Linked DNA regions of Arabidopsis thaliana. The protein of the gene in region 2 interacts with the protein of the main gene of each other region in a biochemical or structural test. Each region holds a gene or a part of one and is shown on either strand. Other genes may lie near its edges.

What was found. The genes of interacting proteins can lie anywhere in the genome.
Region 1: the proteins of MYC4 (region 2) and JAZ11 form a complex in vitro, tested with the Arabidopsis thaliana proteins (one study listed by BioGRID).
Region 3: the proteins of MYC4 (region 2) and JAZ5 form a complex in vitro, tested with the Arabidopsis thaliana proteins (one study listed by BioGRID).

Annotation. Positions count from the first base shown.
Region 1 is NC_003074.8:15,365,623-15,370,657, forward strand, and holds JAZ11 (jasmonate-zim-domain protein 11), read left to right. Parts: upstream 1-1,923; 5' UTR 1,924-2,047; coding exon 2,048-2,154; intron 2,155-2,380; coding exon 2,381-2,465; intron 2,466-2,560; coding exon 2,561-2,663; intron 2,664-2,738; coding exon 2,739-2,796; intron 2,797-3,479; coding exon 3,480-3,576; intron 3,577-3,673; coding exon 3,674-3,806; intron 3,807-3,899; coding exon 3,900-3,957; intron 3,958-4,076; coding exon 4,077-4,152; 3' UTR 4,153-4,535; downstream 4,536-5,035. UniProt on the Arabidopsis thaliana protein: Repressor of jasmonate (JA) responses. Targets MYC2, MYC3 and MYC4 that are JA-dependent transcription activators.
Region 2 is NC_003075.7:9,932,823-9,937,716, forward strand, and holds MYC4 (Basic helix-loop-helix (bHLH) DNA-binding family protein), read right to left. Parts: upstream 2,864-4,894; 5' UTR 2,650-2,863; coding exon 880-2,649; 3' UTR 504-879; downstream 1-503. Other genes in the region: AGD8 (ARF-GAP domain 8), read left to right, coding at 4,299-4,376, 4,514-4,632. UniProt on the Arabidopsis thaliana protein: Transcription factor involved in jasmonic acid (JA) gene regulation. With MYC2 and MYC3, controls additively subsets of JA-dependent responses. Can form complexes with all known glucosinolate-related MYBs to regulate glucosinolate biosynthesis.
Region 3 is NC_003070.9:5,954,655-5,959,504, reverse strand, and holds JAZ5 (jasmonate-zim-domain protein 5), read left to right. Parts: upstream 1-1,993; 5' UTR 1,994-2,434; coding exon 2,435-2,612; exon of another isoform or gene 2,613-2,826; coding exon of another isoform or gene 2,827-2,917; coding exon 2,918-3,008; intron 3,009-3,128; coding exon 3,129-3,452; coding exon of another isoform or gene 3,453-3,519; exon of another isoform or gene 3,520-3,619; coding exon 3,620-3,851; 3' UTR 3,852-4,350; downstream 4,351-4,850. Other genes in the region: UBP1B (oligouridylate binding protein 1B), read left to right, coding at 4,680-4,784. UniProt on the Arabidopsis thaliana protein: Repressor of jasmonate responses.

The DNA of each region.
Region 1 (5,035 bases), on a different chromosome or scaffold from region 2:
TTTCTCAAAAGGAAAGTCTCAAAGCGACGACGTATTATTTTCACGCACGTTTTAAATTCTTGATGCCTTTTTTTGTTTTATTCTTTTTTCTTAAGTTACACATTTAAACAAACAAAAAAGAACAAAATGAGAAAGAAATAGATTGTTTTCGAGCTTTCTCTCTCTTCTCTCTCTAAAAAATCTTAGAGAAAAGGGAAAGTTTTCTCTTTTGTTTCGCTGGCCTGATGGCATTCCGACGTTTATGTGTTTTAATATAGTTGGGTTTTATATCTAACATCTCTGTCGTTTTTAGCAGTGATGGCTGGCTCTTGCCTGACAGCGTTCGAATTCCATGACCATCGTTGGCCGGATCTACTTTTCTTATCAGTGTATCTGATGTTTTTTTTTTTTTTTTTCTTTCAATAATCTCATAGATCCTCTATTGGAAATTTAGGTGTTTTTTTGCTTAAAGGTGTTTATTATCCAATTTGATCTTTTGAGTTTGCGATTTGCAGGAATCAATCCAAAGAGTTACATCTTAAGTTGCAGAAAAGAAAACAATTTCATTGCACACTAATATTGCTTTTAGCTGTAAATCTCTATTTTGATGTTCGATTGGTTTATGAACAATGAAACCTAGAAGAATCAAGCTTGCTTTTATAATCAATGATGATTTTTCTCACTGGAATCGATCTCAGATGGCGAATGATCTACAATTGAGGCTATTTGTCTAATTGATCTATGGACACGAGTGTTTTCCTTTTTGTTTTTAGGTGTTGCTGAAAAGCTCCATCGGCTTAATATCTACGTTGATGTTCTTTGGAGTTCGGGAGTCATTGCCCTTGTGAAGATCTTTTCTTTACAGATTTGATGATGTAGTTGGTAGGATTCTCTAGTTAAAAACCTGTGGACTTATTTCTTGAAGCTCTGACGGTTTTCGGTAGTTTTGGAGTTCCCTTACGCTTCGTACCATATCGGCTATGAGCGGCGAACGGCGACAACATCTACTTCAACTTTACTTCATAGGCTCACACATGGTTTTGTGTTGGATTTGTTATATTTCTTAGTTCCTTAAAGGGGTATCTTTATGGATTGGACTTTTTAAGTTGGGTCTCCGCTTATAAGCTGAATTGTTGGTGAAGTGGAAGCTTCCACTGTTGTACCTTTTACGACATAGAGTTTTAAATAGAAGAGAAAATTCCCAAAAAAAACTTCAACTATTAAAATTTGCCAAAAAAACCTCAACTTTTTCGGTTGTCAAAAAACTCAAACTAATTTATTAGTGACAAATAAAACCCAAACTAGAAATATTGGCAGATTATACATACGCTCTAAAAACAAATTATAGTTTTATCCTTAAAAAATTAATTCTTTTTTTTTTGAAACGAAAAGAAATTTCTTATTTACTTTGTATTTTTTTAGTTTATACGTTTTTGCCTTTTTGGAAATTATCATAGAAAAATGATATGAGTGTCTCATTTTTAATTCTCTTTTCATATATTTTTACTTTTTAGATTTTCAAACTTTAAAAACCAAATCGTTTCTCTATTTCTTTTTTTTTTGCTTATTTCTTTCTAATTTTTGGTTCCTCAATATCAAAATGATTCAATGTTCTTCGACTAATTTACATATTTTGATTTTTTCATCATAATTATATAGTTAGCTTTGTGTTAATATATCTTATTTAATTTATTTTAGCAATACGATAACGGCGGTATGCATGTACTAAAAAGGATGCGTAAAGAGTATTAAGTTTTTCACATCGAACAAAATTGTCCACTATTTTATTTTTTTAAATAGTTGTCTATATTACAAGAACAAATGAAAATAAATAGGTATTATTAGATAAGTAGTTTTTTTTTTTGGTAAGGCATTATTACTTATTAGATAAGTAGTTAGATATATAAAATAATCAAATAGTTGAGGTTTTTTTGGAATATTTCTGAGAAAAACAAAAAGAAAACAAAATTGATTGAATAATGAATACACCGAATAACGAACGTTGCGTAGAGAAGAGAACCAATTCCCAATCAAACGGAGAAGACAGATATTATTCACAGAGAGGCTCATGGCTGAGGTAAACGGAGATTTCCCCGTTCCTAGTTTCGCCGACGGGACCGGTTCTGTTTCCGCCGGACTTGACTTGCTCGTTGAGAGATCGATTCACGAAGCTAGGTATGTATCACTAGTAACTGGAATCAATTTGAATCGTTAATTCTCATTTCTCTTTATCTGTCTTTGTGTTTGAAGTTTTTTCTTAGCCTATAGTTCTGTGATTTGTTAGTTCTTAGTACACTATAGGAGCGTGAGCAATTGACGAGACTTGGATCTATATGAATTGTTAAATTAGCAGATCAATTTGGGAAACTCAAGAGGTTTAATTTCAAACTCTTGTTTCAAGGTCCACAGAGCCAGATGCTTCAACTCAACTTACTATTATCTTTGGTGGGAGTTGTAGAGTCTTCAATGGTGTCCCTGCACAAAAGGTTTGGTCCATCTAGCTTTGAGTACATACATTCTGATTTTGTTTATGTTGGTTGCATCAGAGTTTCTAATTGTATTGGTGATCAATGCTTAATAGGTTCAAGAAATCATTCGCATCGCTTTTGCTGGTAAACAGACGAAGAATGTGACCGGTATCAATCCAGCACTGAACAGAGCTCTTTCTTTCTCAACTGTAGCTGGTAAGCAATTGCTTCATTCGGTTACTGTAAGCATTATCTACGGAGTTACGGACTATTAATCCCTGTTTGTCTCAGATCTTCCAATTGCTAGGAGACGTTCGCTTCAAAGATTTCTCGAGAAGAGACGGGACAGGTAGTTAGATATTCAGTGTTTGCTTTATTAACATATTGATAGTTCTGGAAGTGTTAGTGTGTATGAATCTGATTTGTTAGTATGTATTAGTTTGTGACGTCAAATATTGTTCTTGCATTTAGGAATTTTCATGTGTAGGTAGGTTGTTGAAGCTTAAGCAAATGAAGAGACTGGATCTATGTGAATGTTAATTTGTATACATTGACTGGTTTCGGAAACTGAGATAGTCTTTTAGTTTTTTTTCTTACAAGTGTTTAAGCTTTTATTCTCATGTATTATTCTACTTCTATATCATATTTGGCTGACTTATGGCCACCAGATAATTGTGTATTTCTTAGTGATCATGCCTCACAAATACATTAGATGTTGTTGCCCATTCTTTAGTATCGGTTTTATGAGCTTGAATTTGAACTAGGCTTGTGTGTTTGATTTTGGTACCGTTGAATGCAAAAATAGCCTTCTATCTACTGTTAGATGACATCATCAGATGATTTAAATTTAGTAGGTTGTTTGAACTGATGTATTGATGGGACTGAGGTTAGTTGATAGCCTAAGCGGCTGTAATATTGTAGTGGAATCACTATTTTGTTCTTCTCCCTTTTGCATCAATAGGGTCTTAAAATTTGGGTGGATTATTATTATCTTCCATCATTCATAACTAGCTCTTGTTTCTTCTATTGAAGGTCCACGAAGCCAGATGGTTCAATGATCCTTCCAAGTCAACTAACCATTATTTTTGGTGGGAGTTTTAGCGTATTTGATGGTATTCCAGCTGAAAAGGTTTGGTCCATCCAAGTTTTGAGTACATTCGTATTTCGTTTTTGTTGGGAAGCAGTTGCATGAGATTTCTTGTTCTCTTGGTGATCACACTTAATAGGTTCAAGAAATTCTGCATATCGCTGCTGCAGCTAAAGCCACTGAGACAATTAATTTGACCAGTATAAATCCAGCATTAAAGAGAGCTATTTCATTCTCAAACGCATCAACAGTAGCTTGCGTATCGACAGCAGGTAAGGACTTGCTACATTGGATTACCGTAAACGTTATATAGTCCGAGTATGGAAAACCCCATGAGCTTTATGTAAGATGCATGTTTATCTCAGATGTGCCAATTGCTAGGAGACGTTCACTTCAAAGATTTTTTGAGAAAAGACGGCATCGGTAGGCATATCTGCAGTGCTTGTTTTATAAACATATACTCTCATCTTTCTCCATCACTCACCTATGAGTTTGACCATTAGATTTCATCTAATAGTAACTTGGACCCTCTTTATTTTCAGATTTGTCCACACGAAGCCTTACTCTGCTACGACTTCGGAAGCAGACAAAAATGAAACCAGCCCCATTGTGACATGAGCTCCAAGACTGTAAGCTAACCTCAAACCTTACTTTCGAAGCAACTCAGTATCACAGTTATCTTTGACAAGATTAACACAGCTCATATATAAGCCTTCCGTTGTTGTACGATAATCATCTGCCTATGTTTCTTAGACAAAACACAAAATTGTTTTCCATGTTTGTGATTTGATGTGTTTATCATCTCGCACCTCCTCTTTGAGGAAGATGATTTCTTTTTCTTCACAATGTATGTTGATGCTGTATGATAAGGTCTCAGAGCTATATAAGAACACAAGAGTACTCAAAAATGACCATGAAAGACTTAGTGTCCTTATAAGCAAATCACGACCAAGAAACATACAGAGAAATCATCAAATACTAACCGGAGAGATTAGTAGGGACCTCAGATCAAAATTTTCAGGTCTGGTTAGGCATGTGATTATTACCAGAACCAAAATTTTCAAACCAAGCCAATCCAGTTTTTGGTCATTTCAATTTAGGGTCGGTCACTAAAAGTGAACAGGTCGGCATAATTTTTTAGTACATATATTTAACATGTGCCCAAGTTATGACAAACGATGAAACATAACATATTTATTATAAATGATTTATACATCATAACTCATAAAAACATCAAAATTATGAAATATTTTGGTAGCGCTACCATAACCACTCAATCATCCGACTGAAATCATCAAAATAAAAAAATATTTTCTAACTTTTTTTATATTTACATAAATATATCTACAAAATGATCCCGTATAAACTTGTAATAAATTATATATGTGCATTTTTCAAGACCAAATCTCTAAGATCAAAGACTAATGCTACCACATCATTCAACGAAACAATGCAAATAAATTTTGGGATAACTTTAACTTTGATCATCTTTTAAAGTATT
Region 2 (4,894 bases):
TTTTTTGTATGATTTTAACTTTTTCTTCAAAGATTCATAACCTCGCTTTCCCTCCCCCACAACCCTTTTAAGACATCTTATGTTTATATCCCCATGTTTCATTTTGATTTCACCATTTTGGACCTTTATGACATATATTGATTTTTTTTTATTTTTTTAAAGGGTATTATTCTAGTGGTTTCACTTCTTCTGTCAATATCAAGAAATCCATTTAGCATTTGCATGTTGTGCATCATGATTTATGCGACAAACTTAATTACTCTGAAGTAATCTATGGTTCAAAATACTATTTAGAACGATAATGATCATGTAACATCCACATAAATTTTGAGGTCCTACATTGGAATCTCTAAATAGCTGTGATTGATTTAAATTATCCCTATTGAAAACAAAAAAAAGTAGGTATATTCGTTCCTAACAAATTAGATGCCTCTTTTGATGCCAACTTCCCAATGACTAGTCCCAAATGATGAACACAAAAAACTCACTTGAAAGTGAAATACTCAAACTTTAACTCAAAAGACAACAAAAAACTCCAACTTCAGTCCCATTTGTCTTATTTCTAACAAAAGCCTTATTTACATACATACACCAACAAACCAAAGACTTAACCATTGATCAAACACATTTATTTATCTCATGAAACAACAAACCCCAACCTAATCATATACTACACTAAGAATCCTCTCTAACAAGCATTCAATAGCAACAAGTGGGTACTACAAAATTACCCTTACACAATAGAGTTTACAACTACATTCACTAGAGAAACTTGTGTGAAAGGTTTAACACTTTTTACCGCGGCTTATACTATGATCGTTGTTTTCGACTTTTCGCAGTATTCTCCGGTGTATTAGCCCTAAAGATGCTGACTTCAATTCATGGACATTCTCCAACTTTCTCCGTTAGAGCAACCTTGAGTTGATCTTGCGTGAAAAACTGATTCCCCATTTTCACAGTCGCTTGTTGGATCATAAGATCATTCACTACCGATAAACTCGCATGATTCACTTCCAAATCCAACTCCTTAAGTGCTTCCATGAACTTAGCACCAGGATGATTCCTCTTACTACATTGAATCCTTATCATTGCATCCCAACCAATAATCTTCACATCAACCTCCATCTCTATCAACACACTCGATTCTTGATTCAAACATTTTCGATCTTTTACCGAACTTTTCGCATTTCCCGCTTCTTTATTCATCACATCAATCTGCTTCTGCAACTCTTCTTTATCAGATTCAGCCTTTTGCAACTTAGACTTAAGCTCACTGATATACGAAATAGCATCTCCTAATAGAGAAGCTTTATCCATCTTAGACACATTAGGAACCACAGCTCTTAAAGAATAGAATCTCTGATTCAACTTCTCTCTTCTCTGTCTCTCTGCCTCTACATGATTCAAAGGCTCTTCTCTTCCATTCGCCGGTTTTCTCCCTCGTTTCCTCGGTTTCTTCTCCGGTTCAACCACAACTCTGTTACTCTCAGCTTCTTTAGCCACTGAAGCTTCAAGATCAGAGTGATTCGAGTCACATGGAAGAACAGAGGTAAAAGAAAGCATCCCTTCTTCATTATTCGAAACCGGTGATCTCTTCTTATTACTACTATCTTCTTCTTGACCATTCTCAATCCCATTCTTGAAATTCACCATTTCACAAGATTTCAGAACTTTAGGGTTAGGGTTTTCAACAGAGCTTCCATTACAAAGCTTAGAAATTGGTTGAGAATCAGAATTAGAAGTTGAGTCATTTCCACCATTATTCATCACCGGAGCAGCTACAAGACCAGAGTCAACACCATTAGGTTCACTAATCCACAAACCTGGATCATTCTCTCCTTGATCTGGATTCAAATTAAACGCCCAAGAACCAAATTCACCACCACCATTGTTAAAATTGAAAAAGGTGTCAACTTTATCAACAAGATCTGAACTTTGATGAATAATCTCCGACGAACCAAGCTCAACGACACCATTCTCTGTCGCTACACACACCATTGTTTGTAACCCATAAATCTGACCTTGACGAGCTCTCTCACAACTTGATCCAGCTAAAGCATTAGAACCAGATAACCAAATCGTGTCTGAATTTGAGAAAGCTTGACCAGGTAAACCAGTACCCTTGACAAAGCTCTGTGTCATTGAAACTAAGAAGAACCATTCAGTATCTGTAACTTCTTCATCTCCAGCTTCATCTCCTCCTCCTACACCACCGGAGATTAAAGAGTTGAGCTCTCTAATCACTCTCTTACGATGCTCTTGTTCAGCTGCACTAGCTGGATTTGATTTCTTCTTTCTAGACTTCTCTTCTTCTCCTTTGTAATAACCATCTCCCCAACCTAACAACACTGTGTTGTTGTTGTTGTTGTCTTCTCCGGCGAAACCGTGAGATGATTGCCAGAACACGGCGTAAGTCCAGTTCTCGTTTGCTCCTTCGATTAAAGCTTGGAGACGTTGCTGGAGATTATCTTCGTTGACTTGAGGAAGAGGAGGAGGAGGAAGTGGAGGAAAAAGAGAAGAATGATCGGAGCCGCCGCCGATGAAAGCTTCCATTACCGATGCATCGTCGTCGGTTGACCAGAGATTTGTTGTATCCGTTTTTGATTGGTTGAGATGGTAATCGGTTACTTGAACATTCGTCGGAGACATAACAGTTCTCTGACGTAGTTATAAAAGAGAAGACTTTTTGTTTTTCCGGTGAGAGACAGAGGAGAGAAGTAAGTTCTTTAAGCAAAATATTTGTGTTTGGTTTGATTGTTTCGGGAAAAGGAATCTGTTTATATTCATTTTTTTTTTTTAACTCTAAAGAAAAAGAAATAGTACTTTTATTTTCACCAAATATGAATTATTGATTGAGTTATTTCTGAAGTTGGGTTATATACATAACTTGATTGAAAACAATTTTTTTCTGAATAGTAATTGTTTTACAAGAAAATTACTAATCTATGTAAGAGAATCGGATCAAATTTGTCAAGGAGCCTTTTACATCAAAGTTGATAATTAAGAACAATTAAAGAATGAAAATGATATTTCACTTACAATAATGATCTTGTCTCCCTCACTTTTGGTATTGGTGTCAATATCTGCTTTTCTTGTGATTAATCCCATCATTTAATTCTTGTAAGCAAGTAGCATCAATTAATTTAAACAATGAGTTTGTAGAATTGCAGTTGTTCTTTGAGGCAGGAAAATATGATTTAAAGGGATTAAGGGAGTGTTAACACCAAAGATTTGGATACAACATTTATATACAAAACCTATAAAGCAAATATTGTAGACTTGTAGTTTAACATTTTCTTATAAACATATTTTTGTTGGCTTCGTTATTGGACACAACTTTTTGCAATGATAAAGAACAAAAAAAAGACATGGGTGATTTTGATATCAAAGGTGAAAGAGACGCAAGAGCATAAAGGAAAATAAAAGGTATAGTATTAAAACAGAATTAGATTTAATTACGAAAATTATACGACCACACAAAAATAATCACATTATGTCGTGTGGGTCTCGTGTTTTTAGTGGCCAGATTTCATAATATGCTTTCTTTTTCAGTGAGAGCAAATGCCCAAAAATGTTGGTCTCTCTATGTTCATATCCGACGAAACTATAGTGTCTACTGTACAGTGACATTTCGGAATCGCATAAAAGCAAACAAAACAAATTAAGCTGGGCTTTACTTTATATTGGGCCTCACACATTTTGGGTAGTTAATAAAACTAGCCCGCAAATATTTCACATTTGACATTTTTTAGTGTATGGTCAACAACAAGTATAGCGAAACTTTTAGCATATAATATGTGTGAGACATATTATGGAAAGAAGGCAAAAATGAAAACCGTTAGTTAGTTTGAAAACCTGGAGTTATAAAAAGTCGTATTTTAATTTACTAATACATGTTAACTTCAGATATTAAAAACAAATCCTGTACGTATTAAACCATATGATAAACATAATATTAATACGAAAAATGTATAACACACGATTAGACAAATTAGGAAGTAATCTTTGAATTGAGGTTTAAGAAAAGGTGAAAATGATAAGCTTTCGTCCGTTTTATATCATCCATGTTGCTTCAGAAACGGAATTTACACACTACGTGTCGTTTCTACGTAATGCCATTTTCGTAATTTCTAGAGTTTATTCAGGGTGTTTTCGTCAGTCTAGTCAGATCAAATGTTTCCATCAAACGTTAGTACTGTTTCCTTTAGATTTACAGATTTTGAAGAAGAAAGATTTCAAATTAAAAAATCTTTCAAATTTCTTCAAGGAGGTGATCAAATTGAACAATTTGATCTACAATGGCTTCTTCTTCTGCTGACAATCTTACCGACAAAAACATTGTTTTCAGAAAACTCAAATCAAAATCTGAGAACAAGGTAATCAAATTTTTTTCTGAATTCTTCTCTTTCTTTGAGTATCGTCAATTTGATATTGTGTATGTTTAGATCTGAGAGTTGTTTGACTAGATCTTTGATTCATTTATGCTAATTTTGGTTTTGATTTGCCAATTTAGGTCTGCTTCGATTGTAGTGCGAAGAATCCAACTTGGGCATCGGTTACATATGGGATTTTCCTCTGCATCGATTGTTCAGCTACTCACCGGAATCTTGGTGTTCATATCAGCTTCGTCAGGTAAACAATTCATCATCTGATCCAATTCTTCGGCATTACTCTAGCTCAGATTTTGGCTAAGGTTTAAGCTTTTGAGGCCTTTATAAGGGAATTAGCTTAAACCGTGCTCAGGTGTTCAGAATTGTTGGCTAATGTGTAGCATTACGTTGACTTTAGTGTGGTTGAATCATCAGATTATGTTTTAAGGTTTCAGAATTGTTGACTTCAAAATTTCACCAGTGTCTTGAAATTAGACTCATTCAAATTATCGATTCATTGACTA
Region 3 (4,850 bases), on a different chromosome or scaffold from region 2:
ACCCGCTTGTTACCAGTACGGAGACTCTCTTCTTTCTTTTCGAAATCGCTGTTAGAATGGATCTATGCGAATTTAGGAGAGGAGATAGAGATTAATGGTTGTCCATGGGCGGTCACTTTTTCGCAGGCCATATGGTGGGGGTGGAAATGGCGTTACGGTAACATCTTTGGCGAGAACAAGAAGTGTCGGGATCGGGTTCGTTTTATTAAGGATCGTGCGTTGGATGTTTGGAAGGCGCATGTGCACAAAATGGGAGTGACGACGCGGACAGCTAGGGAGGAGAGATTGATTGCGTGGTCTCCGCCAAGGGTGGGTTGGTTTAAGCTCAATACTGATGGTGCTTCGCGTGGTAACCCGAGACTAGCTACAGCAGGTGGAGTAGTTCGAGACGGGGATGGAAATTGGTGTTATGGGTTTTCGTTGAATATTGGAATTTGTTCGGCTCCGCTTGCGGAACTATGGGGAGCATATTACGGTTTAAATATCGCTTGGGAGCGCGGTGTCACACAGTTGGAGATGGAGATTGATTCGGAGATGGTAGTGGGTTTTCTTCGGACAGGGATTGATGATTCGCATCCGCTGTCCTTCCTGGTGCGGTTGTGCCATGGCTTACTTTCAAAGGACTGGTCAGTCCGGATTTCGCATGTGTATAGAGAAGCTAATCGTCTCGCGGATGGGTTAGCTAACTATGCTTTTTTTTTACCGTTAGGTTTTCATTTGTTTAATTCTACTCCGGATATTGTTATGTCGATTGTTCACGATGATGTAGCGGGGTCTGCGTACCCCCGGAACGTTCAAGTGTAATTTTTTTAGTTTTTTCAGTTTTAATAAAAATGGGGGTTCGCCCCCCTCTTCTACAAAAAAAAATATCACTTTCAAAAGGACCCATTCGCTACCCAATTTTTCTAAACCCCAGAACGTTTTTTTTTTTTCCAAAACACAACAGCCACTTGGTCTTTGCAACAATGCAAGTAGTGTAGTGGCGTAGCTAGGGGTAACGAGTTACCAAACCGGTTTGACAATCTGGTTCGATCAATTGGCCGATCACTCGGTTTGCTCTAATCTTGCTTCATTTAGTCCCATCAACAACACTTATTAAACTAAGTCACATCTAAACTTTTTATATCTTTGGTATCATTTTCCCCGAACACGTTTTTTTGAACGAGTCGTAGTTTTGAAGCAACCAACGAACGTATTGATTATTATGGGCATCCGTGAAAGGGGCAGTTCGGTCAATTGATCCATCAATTTTATTTTTGACCAAACTGATTAGGTGATCTTAAGATTTTTCCTTTTTTCTTTCTATAGGAAAGTGGGAAAAACGCGATTCACACGATACTGTTGCTAGTGCGTCGTACAGATTGCGATACGTGTCACAATCTTGACGGTCTGTTCTATTTAAACCACGTGTTTTAATCAAAAAACTTCTGTCGGATCGTATCGGAGACTTTGAATTTTTATGGCACATGAAACTTCGTAGGGGTTTGATGGTAGGATCCCACATTGGTCCACTTACTATTCAATTCGCACCGCCGTTAAGTTTGTTAACTAACGTGAGGAACGTCGCGGTGATGTAAAAAAAGGCCATGAAAGTTGTTTCTATTACGATGATGCCATCACTGGAGTTGGTAATGTGCTCTTGTGGAAGGGCAAATTTTGTAAATACGATCAAATTTCGAGTCTTTTACGAATTTGTGACATACGCCGTTTAATAACGTTTGCCGTCGGTTCTGAAATCTTTATTCTTTTTCTCTTTTATCGTTACGCGTAAGGAAAACGTGCGGTAAATTCTAACCGAAAATATATATAAAAAAGTAGTCCAATTTTGAAATCTGGCCGTTGATGGTAGACAACTAAACTGTGCCAAACAAGAAACAAGAGGTGAACATATTTTTATGATAAGACAGGGCAATAAATTTGTTGTACCAACTCATAAAACAATAGATAAATTACTTGCACAATGATGGATTATTAACATTAATTTTCTTACTATTAATCATGGATGAAAATTCCTTTCTTCACACTAGATATAGTTCTTTAACTAGTTAAAAATGCATGCGATGGAATATTACTAAATATGATATAATCTCATGGCTTTATGTAAGATTTGTTTTTTGGTTTTTTTGGTTGTTGTTAATAAATTTATTATTGAGAAGTTTAATTCTATTTTGGTCACAATATATTGAAATATTTTTAAGAAACTAAAAAGTTCCTATTTATTTTTGTTTTCATTAATTTATGAGAGGCTATTAAAGTCACAGAAACTTATTGGGTGAATGAGTTTATAAACACATGAGCTATTGAGCTAGTAGCCTCTTGTACTCTTCCATTTTACGCGCAATCCACGCACCAACAAAAAGAAAAGAAAAGAAGAGATAAAGAATATCTTTAAAAAGTAAGTGTGGAGAATTCTTTCTTCTCAATAAACAACAACATGTCGTCGAGCAATGAAAATGCTAAGGCACAAGCGCCGGAGAAATCTGACTTTACCCGGAGATGTAGTTTGCTCAGCCGTTACTTGAAGGAGAAGGGTAGTTTCGGAAACATTGATCTTGGCTTATACCGAAAACCCGATTCCAGTCTCGCGTTGCCCGGAAAATTCGATCCACCAGGTACTTTTATTATCTCTTTCTTCTTTCATGGCCGCCACTTGGTAATAGTACTTTAAAAACTCAGTTCTGTTACTACTTGCTTTTGCCAGATTTACTACTTTTGTATTGTTTCTTCATTTGTAAGTCAGTTCCTTACTTCAGAAATAATTTCTCCTTGTAATTATGAAGACAAGTAACAAAAATAACGAATAAGTTGATATAGAAATTGATTGAGATGTGGTTAATAAAATTCCAAAGATATAAGATGCTATATCATTTTTCTAAAGTTATTATAGTTCACGAAAGTTTTTATTCTCTTTATGCAGGGAAACAAAATGCGATGCATAAGGCAGGGCATTCCAAAGGCGAACCCTCTACCTCATCAGGAGGCAAAGTCAAAGATGTTGCTGACCTCAGGTCTCTCCTTTTGTTCCTTGGGAATACTTGTTGTTTTTGGTTATTGGAGATTAGAGAAAAGGATAATCGGTTAATCCGGTTAAAATTGGTTTTGTTCTGAAATCTGTTTTTGGTTTGCAGTGAATCACAGCCAGGAAGTTCGCAGCTGACCATATTCTTCGGAGGGAAAGTTTTAGTATATAATGAGTTCCCCGTAGACAAAGCTAAAGAGATTATGGAAGTAGCAAAACAAGCCAAGCCTGTGACTGAGATTAACATTCAGACACCAATCAATGACGAAAACAACAACAACAAGAGCAGCATGGTTCTTCCTGATCTCAATGAGCCTACTGATAATAATCACCTAACAAAGGAACAACAACAGCAACAAGAACAAAATCAGATCGTGGAACGTATAGCACGTAGAGCTTCCCTCCATCGATTCTTTGCTAAACGGAAAGACAGGTATTTAACCTTATCATACTTTTTGAAACTTGTTTTAATGTTCCAAATTTCCAATCACTCTAGTTAGTTCAAAACTCAAAAGTTTAAGGATCCTCCCTCTGATATAAGTTCTCCTAAATTATCCTCAACAAGCCTCGTAATTTACGTTATTAATTTTTCTGTTGCAGAGCTGTGGCTAGGGCTCCGTACCAAGTTAACCAAAACGCAGGTCATCATCGTTATCCTCCCAAGCCAGAGATTGTAACCGGTCAACCACTAGAGGCAGGACAGTCGTCACAAAGACCGCCGGATAACGCCATTGGTCAAACCATGGCCCATATCAAATCAGACGGTGATAAAGATGATATTATGAAGATTGAAGAAGGCCAAAGTTCGAAAGATCTCGATCTAAGGCTATAGTAATATTTGCTAAATTTCTTGTAGGAACTGAGTTTTTAGATTAACGTTTCGATTTTTCTGACTTATCTAAGTGATTTTATTTTGCTTTGTACTACAGTATGTAATCTTATTCTAACTTGAATATTCATTCATAAACACAATAGACGATAGTAAAGTTATATTATAATTAGTTAACTACGTACAACACTTGGGAGTTAAATTACATAACGTTAAGCGAGAAATAGCAAATTAGACAAGAGGAAGAATATTTAGGAGTTGTGAATTGATCTGACTGCAATAACATGAAGAGGAATCTGACTGCAATCGTAATGCGGGTAAAGATGGTTGAAAGTGATCAGAGCTCCTTTCTAATTTATTTAGGGTGTAATTTATGAAAATGATTATTATTGGAGTGTATATCAAGTTTTCACTAAACTCAGGGGTGTTTATTGTAATTAGTTGTCAGGTTCAAGTTCATTGAAGGCGTGTCTGATTTGGACAGTGATTGGGCCTGAGCCATAAGTTTAACGTGGGACGAGTTCATTGGCTGTTGCTTTTTAAATTTTCTTACAGCCTGTGACTTTAGCTAATCGATGTGTAAAAATAATAAATCCAATAAAATTCGTAAGAGCCACTCGATTGCTTCCTTCGCTTTCTATCAAGAGACTTCCTTTTTTTTTTCCTGTTCTTCATTTTTTTTTTGTTATTAATATTTTGTCATTTTTCTTACATTTTTCTCGAACACCGAAAACACTTTCGAACCCTAAAAGACAGAACACTGTGTCAATTTTCATTACCTGGGAACGAAAAGCAAAATCAAAGACAATAATTTTTTCCCCGAGAGAGAAAATGCAGAGGTTGAAGCAGCAGCAGCAGCAGCAACAAGTTATGATGCAGCAAGCTCTTATGCAGCAACAGTCTCTCTACCATCCTGGTCTCCTTGCCCCGCCACAGGTTTGCTCTATTCTTCTTCCATTTCCATGCTCGATTTGGGTTTCTAGGCTCTTTTTCCCAAGCTCG